Arabidopsis thaliana: one gene and its partner. The protein of the gene in region 1 interacts with the protein of each later gene in a pairwise test. Each region holds a gene or a part of one and is shown on either strand. Other genes may lie near its edges.

Region 1 (3,662 bases):
TGTCTCTTCTATTTTCGAAACATCGCCATGTTCAAATCGACAAAAAAAGAAGTGTATAGAACAAATCCACTTAGAATAAGTTACATCTTATGTAGATAAAATAAATAAATAAGTTTTGTAGAAAATTAACCAAACATATACAAACAGACGATAAGCATTTGAATTGAATTATATTTGTCTATACCATAAATTGAGTCTCAAAAGATTTAACCTGAAATAACTATCCTAACGGAAAACTGTTTTGAAGATGACAAAATACGAGATAATGTGTAGATTCCGTGTGTATCTCTATTGATAGACTTTAGTTTTTGTGTATTCTTGAAGGACATAAACCTATTTTAAGACCAGTTCAACAGAAAACTGGTGCAGACCACGATCACAGTTGTAATGAGTTTTCTAAAATGGTAACCACTCCTTTTCCTTTAAGAAGCAGTCCTTCTTGTCTCCTGCCCTAATTCTCTTCTTCTCTATAAACCCATATTCTAGTTTTGTTCTCATTCATTCTCTGTTCAAAGCTCATAAATAATAAACTCCAATTAAGAATGGATCAAGCGGAGCTTGCCAGGATCTTCCAAATGTTCGACAGGAACGGTGATGGCAAAATCACGAAGCAAGAGCTGAATGATTCATTGGAGAATCTAGGAATCTACATTCCAGACAAAGACTTGGTGCAGATGATCGAGAAGATTGATCTCAACGGTGATGGGTACGTGGACATCGAAGAGTTTGGAGGGTTGTACCAGACGATAATGGAGGAAAGAGACGAGGAGGAAGACATGAGAGAGGCTTTCAACGTGTTTGATCAGAACCGGGACGGGTTCATCACGGTGGAAGAGCTAAGGTCTGTGTTAGCTTCCTTGGGGCTCAAACAAGGAAGAACCCTAGAGGATTGCAAGAGGATGATAAGCAAAGTTGACGTTGATGGAGATGGCATGGTGAATTTCAAAGAGTTTAAACAAATGATGAAAGGTGGTGGATTTGCCGCCTTAGGATCAAACTTGTAAAAAAAAAACTCATTTTTCGGGTTCGGGTTTGAGACCCAAAATCATTGGGTATTTTTTTCTTCGGAATGATTATTAGGGCAAAACCTTGAAAGCGATGATGAATGGATTTGCAAAAGAAAAAAGCTCAACAAACTTTGTGAGCTTTGTTTTGAATGCTCCTACAAAAATGTTGTTGATGAATTTGCTTTTCGGATTTTGAAACATAACCATGCGAATCTACGGGAACACTTGATGATTCTTTTATTATTTATATATTTGGGTGTTGCACTTAAAAAGTTATCACTATCTAGCTTATAATCATAAAATGATGAAAATATATTTGTATTTGTAAATTACAAAGATTAAACACAAACAAACAATCGAATTTCTACCCAAAAAAACAAACAAACAATCGAATTTATGTCTTTAAAGTGAAGATTTAGGTCAAAGTAATGGAAAAAAGTGTCTCATGGAATATGTTAGTCAGGCGGTCAAAGTAAAAAGTAAAAAGAGAAAAAACTATAAACTACATGATGTTTAACTCTTCAAGTGACGTCAAGACATAAACTACGTGCCGTTTCGCACTATTCGTAATCCAACGGGCGAGACTGGAATGAATTTATGACCAGATCTTGGTTTTTTCTTGTCGTCTTCTTCACCGCTTACCAGTTACTAACTTGAGCTTCAGAGATCATCATCATCATCACTTCCTCTCTCTGAAGAAAACACAATTTGGAGTTTTCTAATCTTCATTCCAAGTGAGTACTTCAATCGAATCCCTTTTCTACTATTCAATAATTCAATCTATTATTCAAATTCTCGTCTATCTGTTTCGATGATTTTGAGGTTTTCGCTCCCTTTTGTTATCAAATTATGGAATCTGATTCCCAATTTCGCGTTTGTATGTACTCGATTTTCTCTTTTTTCTTGCATGATTACACTTTGGTGAAGTTCAGAATTCGAGTAATATCACTTGAAATTGCTACTCTCTGCCTATTCATTAGGGTTTATGAATACATAGTTTAGGGTTTATGTTTCCATTAGTCACTTCTTGAGGACCTGCTTATCTTCGAGCCATTGTGTATTTGATAAACTTTGGAAGAAGTGTCCACTATATCTAGCGTAGGACTGAATGTAGTAGATTAGAACTGCTAAGAGTTGGTTAGAGAAAGGGGTGGGTAATTTATAAGGATTTTCTAGGGTTTGGTTAGGTATTCGGTAGAGAGTTTCTGGTTTGGTGAACAAGACATAGCTTTGCATCATTTGTTTTGAGTTGAGATGTTTGTGTGTTGTGTTGTGGCAGTGGAAGGGAACTCTTTACCCGAAGAAGATGTAGAGATGATGGAGAATTCAGATGTAATGAAGACAGTCACAGATGAAGCTTCTCCAATGGTGGAGCCGTTCATTGGTATGGAGTTTGAATCAGAAGAGGCTGCAAAGTCTTTCTATGACAATTACGCTACATGCATGGGTTTCGTTATGCGAGTGGATGCTTTCAGGAGGTCAATGCGAGATGGGACTGTGGTGTGGCGCAGACTCGTGTGTAATAAAGAAGGATTTCGTAGGTCGAGACCTCGGAGAAGCGAGAGTAGAAAGCCTCGGGCTATAACAAGAGAAGGGTGTAAAGCTCTGATTGTTGTGAAAAGAGAGAAATCCGGAACATGGCTTGTTACTAAATTTGAGAAAGAGCATAATCATCCTCTCTTGCCTCTCTCCCCTAATGTTCGCCGGAATTTTCAGCTCCCTCAAACACCGGTACGTCTACGCACTTTTCCTTGGGGTAAAAGTAAAACAGTGATTATTGGCATTGATCTAAGAGTTACCAAGAACATAAAGCTCAAAAAATGATATCGAAATCTTGTACAAATGAACTTTTCAGGACGAGAAAGACGCAAAGATTAGGGAGCTGAGTGCAGAGCTGAGCCGAGAGAGAAGGCGTTGTACTGCTTTGCAACAGCAGCTTGATATGGTCCTTAAGGAGATGGAAGAACATTCCAACCATCTCACCATTAACATCAATAGTGTTATCCAAAGTGTTAGAGACATTGAGTCCAATACTTTCACCAAACAACAAACATAATGCTTCATTTCTGTTCATAAAAGCTTAACATCAAATTCTCATAATCCAATGTTCTGTATCTTGTGATTGATTCTTCATTCTCCGAAACAAAAAAACAAAAAACTAGATTGGAAGGCATTGATGATGAAATTACACATTGGCTAATCAAAACAAAGCCATGGACATTATCCAATTTTGACATAGCATCAATGCCAGAAAGCGTAAATGGCGGTAGAGATGTAAATCAGCAGAGCAGAGGAAACCAGAGTGACGAGCGTTGCAACAGCTTGAGCCGCCGATTTGCTGCCGCAAGAGAGCAAACCAAGACGGATCTGAATCACATTAACCATAGAGAGCATCAAGAAGAGACAGCCCATTACAGATCCGACAGCAGAAGCCATCATTCCCCATCTCAAAACCTTGATATTGATGTGAGCTCTGAAAATCTCGTTGACGTCTTTGCTATTAAGAAGGTTTAAGGCAAGCTTAAGACCCTGAGCTACAAGAGAGGAGAAGAGGAAGAAGCTGAAGGAGACGACTTCGAAGACCAGTAGCTTCTTGGCGACGTCAGCACTTGCGTCGCAGCTGGATCGTTGTTCGAGGCTGTGTTGTCCTGGAGT
Region 2 (4,944 bases), on another chromosome or scaffold:
GAAGGAGAGAGTAAAAGAGCTGCTAGCAGGGCAGGCGTCACACTCAGAATTACAGGAGAAGGTCACATCTCTTAGTGATCTACTAGCTGCGAAAGACCTAGGTCAGTTTTTCTCTTTTACCCTTTTGTTTTTGCACCGCCACATATATAGCTGATACCTAATTGCTTCCTGCAGAAATTGAGGCCTTAATGCAAGCGCTTGACGAGGAAGAGTCTCAGATGGAGGATCTGAAACTCAGAGTTACAGAATTAGAACAGGAAGTGCAACAGAAGAACCTAGACTTGCAGAAAGCTGAAGCTTCTCGTGGGAAGATTTCCAAAAAGCTATCAATTACTGTGGATAAATTCGATGAGCTCCATCACCTCTCTGAAAATCTTCTTGCTGAAATCGAGAAACTTCAACAGCAAGTGCAAGATCGGGATACAGAGGTTTCTTTCTTAAGACAAGAAGTCACTAGGTGCACCAATGAGGCTCTTGCTGCTTCTCAGATGGGCACTAAGAGAGATTCAGAAGAGATCCAAACTGTACTGTCTTGGTTCGACACGATAGCTTCACTACTTGGTATAGAAGATTCGCTGTCCACTGATGCTGACAGTCATATAAACCACTACATGGAGACATTTGAGAAAAGGATAGCGTCTATGCTATCTGAAATAGACGAATTACGGTTGGTTGGACAAAGCAAGGACGTTTTGCTTGAAGGCGAGAGGAGTAGAGTGGCTGAGCTCAGACAGAAAGAAGCAACTCTTGAGAAATTCTTACTTGAGAAAGAATCCCAACAAGACATTTCAACAAGCTCGACGTCAGAGATCGTTGAAGTGGAACCTCTGGTAAGCTTTGAGCTTGTTAAATAGTTACACCATTCCAGATGCCTCAAGATGATAAATTTTTAATTGTGGATTTTTTTTTGTTGGATATCACAGATAAACAAGTGGACAAAAACATCGATTCCATCACAAGTCCGGAGTTTGCGTAAGGGAAATATGGATCAAGTCGCCATTAGTATAGATGCAGATCAAACTGATCAAAGCGGTAGCTTAGAAGAAGATGATGATAAAGGTAATTAAACTTGTCTCTGAATATTTAGTACTTTTAACAACATTTCTTAGTAACATTCCCATTTGTATTTTTTCTGTTTTTTAGCTCATGGTTTCAGATCACTCTCTACGTCAAGAATCATTCCTAGATTCACAAGACCCATCACTAACATGGTCGATGGTTTATGGTCAGACTCTTTTCATCCATGGATCTCGTTCAGTGTAAAGTTCTTTAATTATGATCTAACAAAAAACGACCCTTTTATTTGGTTTCTGAACTTTTCAGGGTCTCTTGTGATCGGACGCTCATGAGACAACCTGCTTTACGGTTAGGGATCATGCTATACTGGGCGATATTGCATGCTCTTTTGGCTGCTTTCGTGGTCTAACCAAACTTCCAATTTCGTAAGCTCATTACTGACTTTTTTTTTTTTAATCCCAAAACAAGTTGCAAAGAGTAGCTTGATTTGCTAAGCTTTTAAGACGTGTTTTAATCGTATATTTGCAGCTGGTTTCTCGTTATAGCATGCATGGGCTCATCAAAGTGGTGATGTGTTGTCGTCTCCAACACTAATTTTTTTTTTTTTTTTTTTTTTTTTTTTTTGTCTTTGTCTTTGTTTTTAATTCATTGTTTAGCTTATATTAACCAAGCAAACTGTGGTTTCAGCATTTTTATTGATCCGAATCACAAACTGCTTGGGTTTTCAAACGAATAAGAAAGAAAGTTTATTTAGTAGCTGTGGAATGAAAGTGTGATTTAACTAGAGAGACTTGAAGTTCTATTATTTTTCTTTTTCCCTATTCTGCTATTCATTATTTTCAGAAATACAAAGCAAAATACGTGAAATGATCACATTTAAGTATTTAACAAACTATACAGAGAAAAAATAAATATCACCGACACTAACATATTATTGAAAAAAGGCATGAAAAGGCTACTTTTAAGCCCAATAAATAGGCCCAAATTGTATATTTACTAAATTTTGTTAACGCGCTTACAAAACCCTTTGGAAAGTATTTCATCAAATTTCAGATTCAGAAACCCTAATTTCTTCACAAAGCAAAACACAGAAAAAGCCATTCTTTTTGCCCCTTGAGTGCTTTCAGCTCTTCCCACAAGGTAGGTCGCAACCAAGTTTCTTTATCTCCTTCTCACTCTTAATTGTGGTAACGTTGATCCGATCTGTTCAAATTTGATCGGGTCACTTGGTGGATCTAGTGACTCTGTATTTTTTCTCGATGAATTCAAATCCTTTCGAATGTCTTACTAGAAAAGATTTAGAATTCCTTTATGTTGACCTTGGTTTATTGTGCCATTGACAGGTTACAGAAGTAATGTCACGTGTGTACGTCGGAAATTTGGACCCGCGAGTTACTGAGCGTGAACTTGAGGATGAGTTCCGTGCCTTTGGAGTTGTCAGGAGGTAAGAATCAATCCAATCAATCAGTTCGCGCTACAATTTTGTCACTTTTGAAGTTAAAAGTATCCAATTTTGCATCTCTCTAATGTTCATATGTAATGTGCAGTGTTTGGGTTGCCCGTAGACCACCTGGTTACGCTTTTCTAGATTTCGAAGATCCTAGGGATGCCCGTGATGCTATCCGTGCTTTAGATGGTAATGATGCATTCATATTCTTTCTATTTTGCTTTGTTCTCTTAGAAGTTGATGTTTTGATTGGGATTGGAAAATAAGTTTGGTGGAATCTTTTAAAGGAGAGAAATTTGAGGTTTGCAATTACTTTTGACTTGAAACTTCACAATTTGACATGGATATTGTGATAACGGATAGGCAAGAATGGCTGGAGGGTTGAACAGTCTCACAATCGAGGTGAGCGTGGTGGCGGCGGTCGTGGTGGTGACCGTGGAGGTGGTGGCGGCGGCCGTGGTGGTCGTGGTGGCTCTGATTTGAAATGCTATGAATGCGGTGAGACTGGTCATTTCGCACGTGAATGCCGTAACCGTGGTGGAACTGGAAGGCGTCGCAGCAAGAGCCGTAGTCGCACTCCTCCAAGATACAGAAGGAGCCCAAGCTATGGACGGAGGTCAGTGATGCTTTTTATTTTGTTACCTTAGTACCTTATTTTGAACGGATTAAGTAACCTTGCCTTTTTCTGGTTTTAGGAGTTACAGCCCTCGTGCAAGATCTCCCCCTCCTCCAAGGCGCCGCAGTCCTTCTCCTCCTCCTGCCCGTGGCCGCAGCTACAGTAGATCACCACCTCCATACAGAGCGCGTGAGGAAGTGCCATATGCTAATGGGTAAATTTCTTTTTCCCAAGTCTCTATATCATTATCAGTGTTTAGGTTTTGGTTATAGTTCTTAGAGATAAACATTTACATTTTCTTCAGATGCTAATTCAACATCTGTTCTTGTTTCTTCAGAAATGGACTGAAAGAAAGACGCAGAAGCAGGAGCTGAGTGAGTGATTTTGCAAGAAAACGAGTGTGTGGGAGGATACTTTGGAAGAGAAGAAGAGAGGGACTAAGGGAAGTTACTATCATCTATGAATTTCAGTAAGAGAACATGTTTTAGGTCTGCTGGGTTGGATAAAGCTTGCTACTTTTGCTTTTGGATATGAAACGTACGTAGTTGTGTATCTACCAATAGGTAAAAGAACACTTGATTCGTACCCTAGTTTCTTAAAGACATAATGTTTGATTGGAAATTCTGCTAAATGCCTAAGCGTTTCTTGTCTTTTTCCACCGTGTCGAGGTTTCTTCGGGTCTACTACTACTACTACTGCTTCATTGCTTATCTACTTGCTTCTCTACTCTTCTCATATGAAGCATCTTCCTTAGTTTCTTGGCCTACTTCATTGTTTATCTGCTTGCTTCTCTACTCTTCTGCTATGAATCATCTGCATTTAGTTGCTCGGCCTGGTATGGGAAAAGTTAAACCACGGTTGTGGATCCCTAACATCATCTTCATTTAGTTGCTCGGCCTGCTTCATTGTTTATCTACTTGCTTCTCTACTCTTCTGCTATGAATCATCTTCGTTTAGTTACTCGGCCTGCTATGGGAAAAGTTAACTACGGTTGTGGATCCCTACATGGCTTGCTTCTACTTCATCTTCGACCCTAGAGATGCGCTATTGTTTGAAAACTTCATCAGCTTTGAGGTTACCTTCTTTGCATGAACTTGAGCTGCATCACTCAGAAGCACCTCTTGTGTGGTCTGAATGTTGTGCATTAGGTTTAGCATAATTGTAGCTATGTGATAGTGTTTAGTATGCACATTCTTGTCCTTGGATAGATTTTTGTGCATTTCACGGTTTATATAGGCAAGTCAAGAATTTGTAAATGCGTATCAGTTGCTACCATTTGGTACTTGTGTTCATTTCACTTAAGCATAGTTGTGAAATTGTTCACTTTTATGAAGGTGAAGCAAAGTAATTGCCTAAGAGGAAGATTGAATACATAATCTGATTTGCTCTTATTCACGTAACAACTAGCTATGGTTTCGTTTCAGCAACTATAAATCCCAAATTAAGTGAAAAAATAAAAGTATACTTGCGAAGTAGACATGGAGACGTTGTTTTGGCATGACAACAATTAAAAGCCTAGAAAAGCAAGAGAGACAAGATCATGATCCTAGTTCGGTCCCAGAATCATCAACAAACCCACCAAATTAAAATCTGTTTGGTCCCATTCTTCACTTACACATCATTGAATTGATTGTTATGTGACGTAAACCTCTCTGACCTCTGCTTTTTTTCTGCAATTATGCTTCTCCTCATTCCACTTCCTCTGCCGACACTTTTTTTGCTCCACGTTTCTTCACTTTTCACCGACACTAAGTTGAGAATGTCCTAAGATCCTCAGAGAATACAATAAATATTGGTCTTTCTCTTGTTTCAGTTTAGTCAGAAAACTGGTTCTTGTTAGTTATTTACAGTTACAATCTCTTTC

What was found. Proteins that work in one complex are often made in the same cells at the same time.
Region 2: the proteins of AT3G07500 (region 1) and RSZ22 interact in a two-hybrid assay, tested with the Arabidopsis thaliana proteins (one large-scale study listed by BioGRID).

What each region holds. Positions count from the first base shown.
Region 1 is NC_003074.8:2,390,647-2,394,308, forward strand, and holds AT3G07500 (Far-red impaired responsive (FAR1) family protein), read left to right. Parts: upstream 1-1,569; 5' UTR 1,570-1,740; coding exon 1,741-1,741; intron 1,742-2,286; coding exon 2,287-2,738; intron 2,739-2,862; coding exon 2,863-3,063; 3' UTR 3,064-3,132; downstream 3,133-3,662. Other genes in the region: AGD11 (ARF-GAP domain 11), read left to right, coding at 543-1,004; AT3G07510 (maternal effect embryo arrest protein), read right to left, coding at 3,249-3,662.
Region 2 is NC_003075.7:15,304,611-15,309,554, forward strand, and holds RSZ22 (serine/arginine-rich 22), read left to right. Parts: upstream 1-1,933; 5' UTR 1,934-2,157; exon of another isoform or gene 2,158-2,161; intron 2,162-2,360; 5' UTR 2,361-2,372; coding exon 2,373-2,461; intron 2,462-2,564; coding exon 2,565-2,653; intron 2,654-2,827; coding exon 2,828-3,080; intron 3,081-3,159; coding exon 3,160-3,294; intron 3,295-3,417; coding exon 3,418-3,454; 3' UTR 3,455-4,425; downstream 4,426-4,944. Other genes in the region: AT4G31570 (nucleoporin), read left to right, coding at 1-101, 175-830, 924-1,059, 1,157-1,259, 1,324-1,426. UniProt on the Arabidopsis thaliana protein: Sequence-specific RNA-binding protein probably involved in pre-mRNA splicing. In vitro, can complement efficiently splicing-deficient mammalian SRSF7-depleted HeLa cell extract.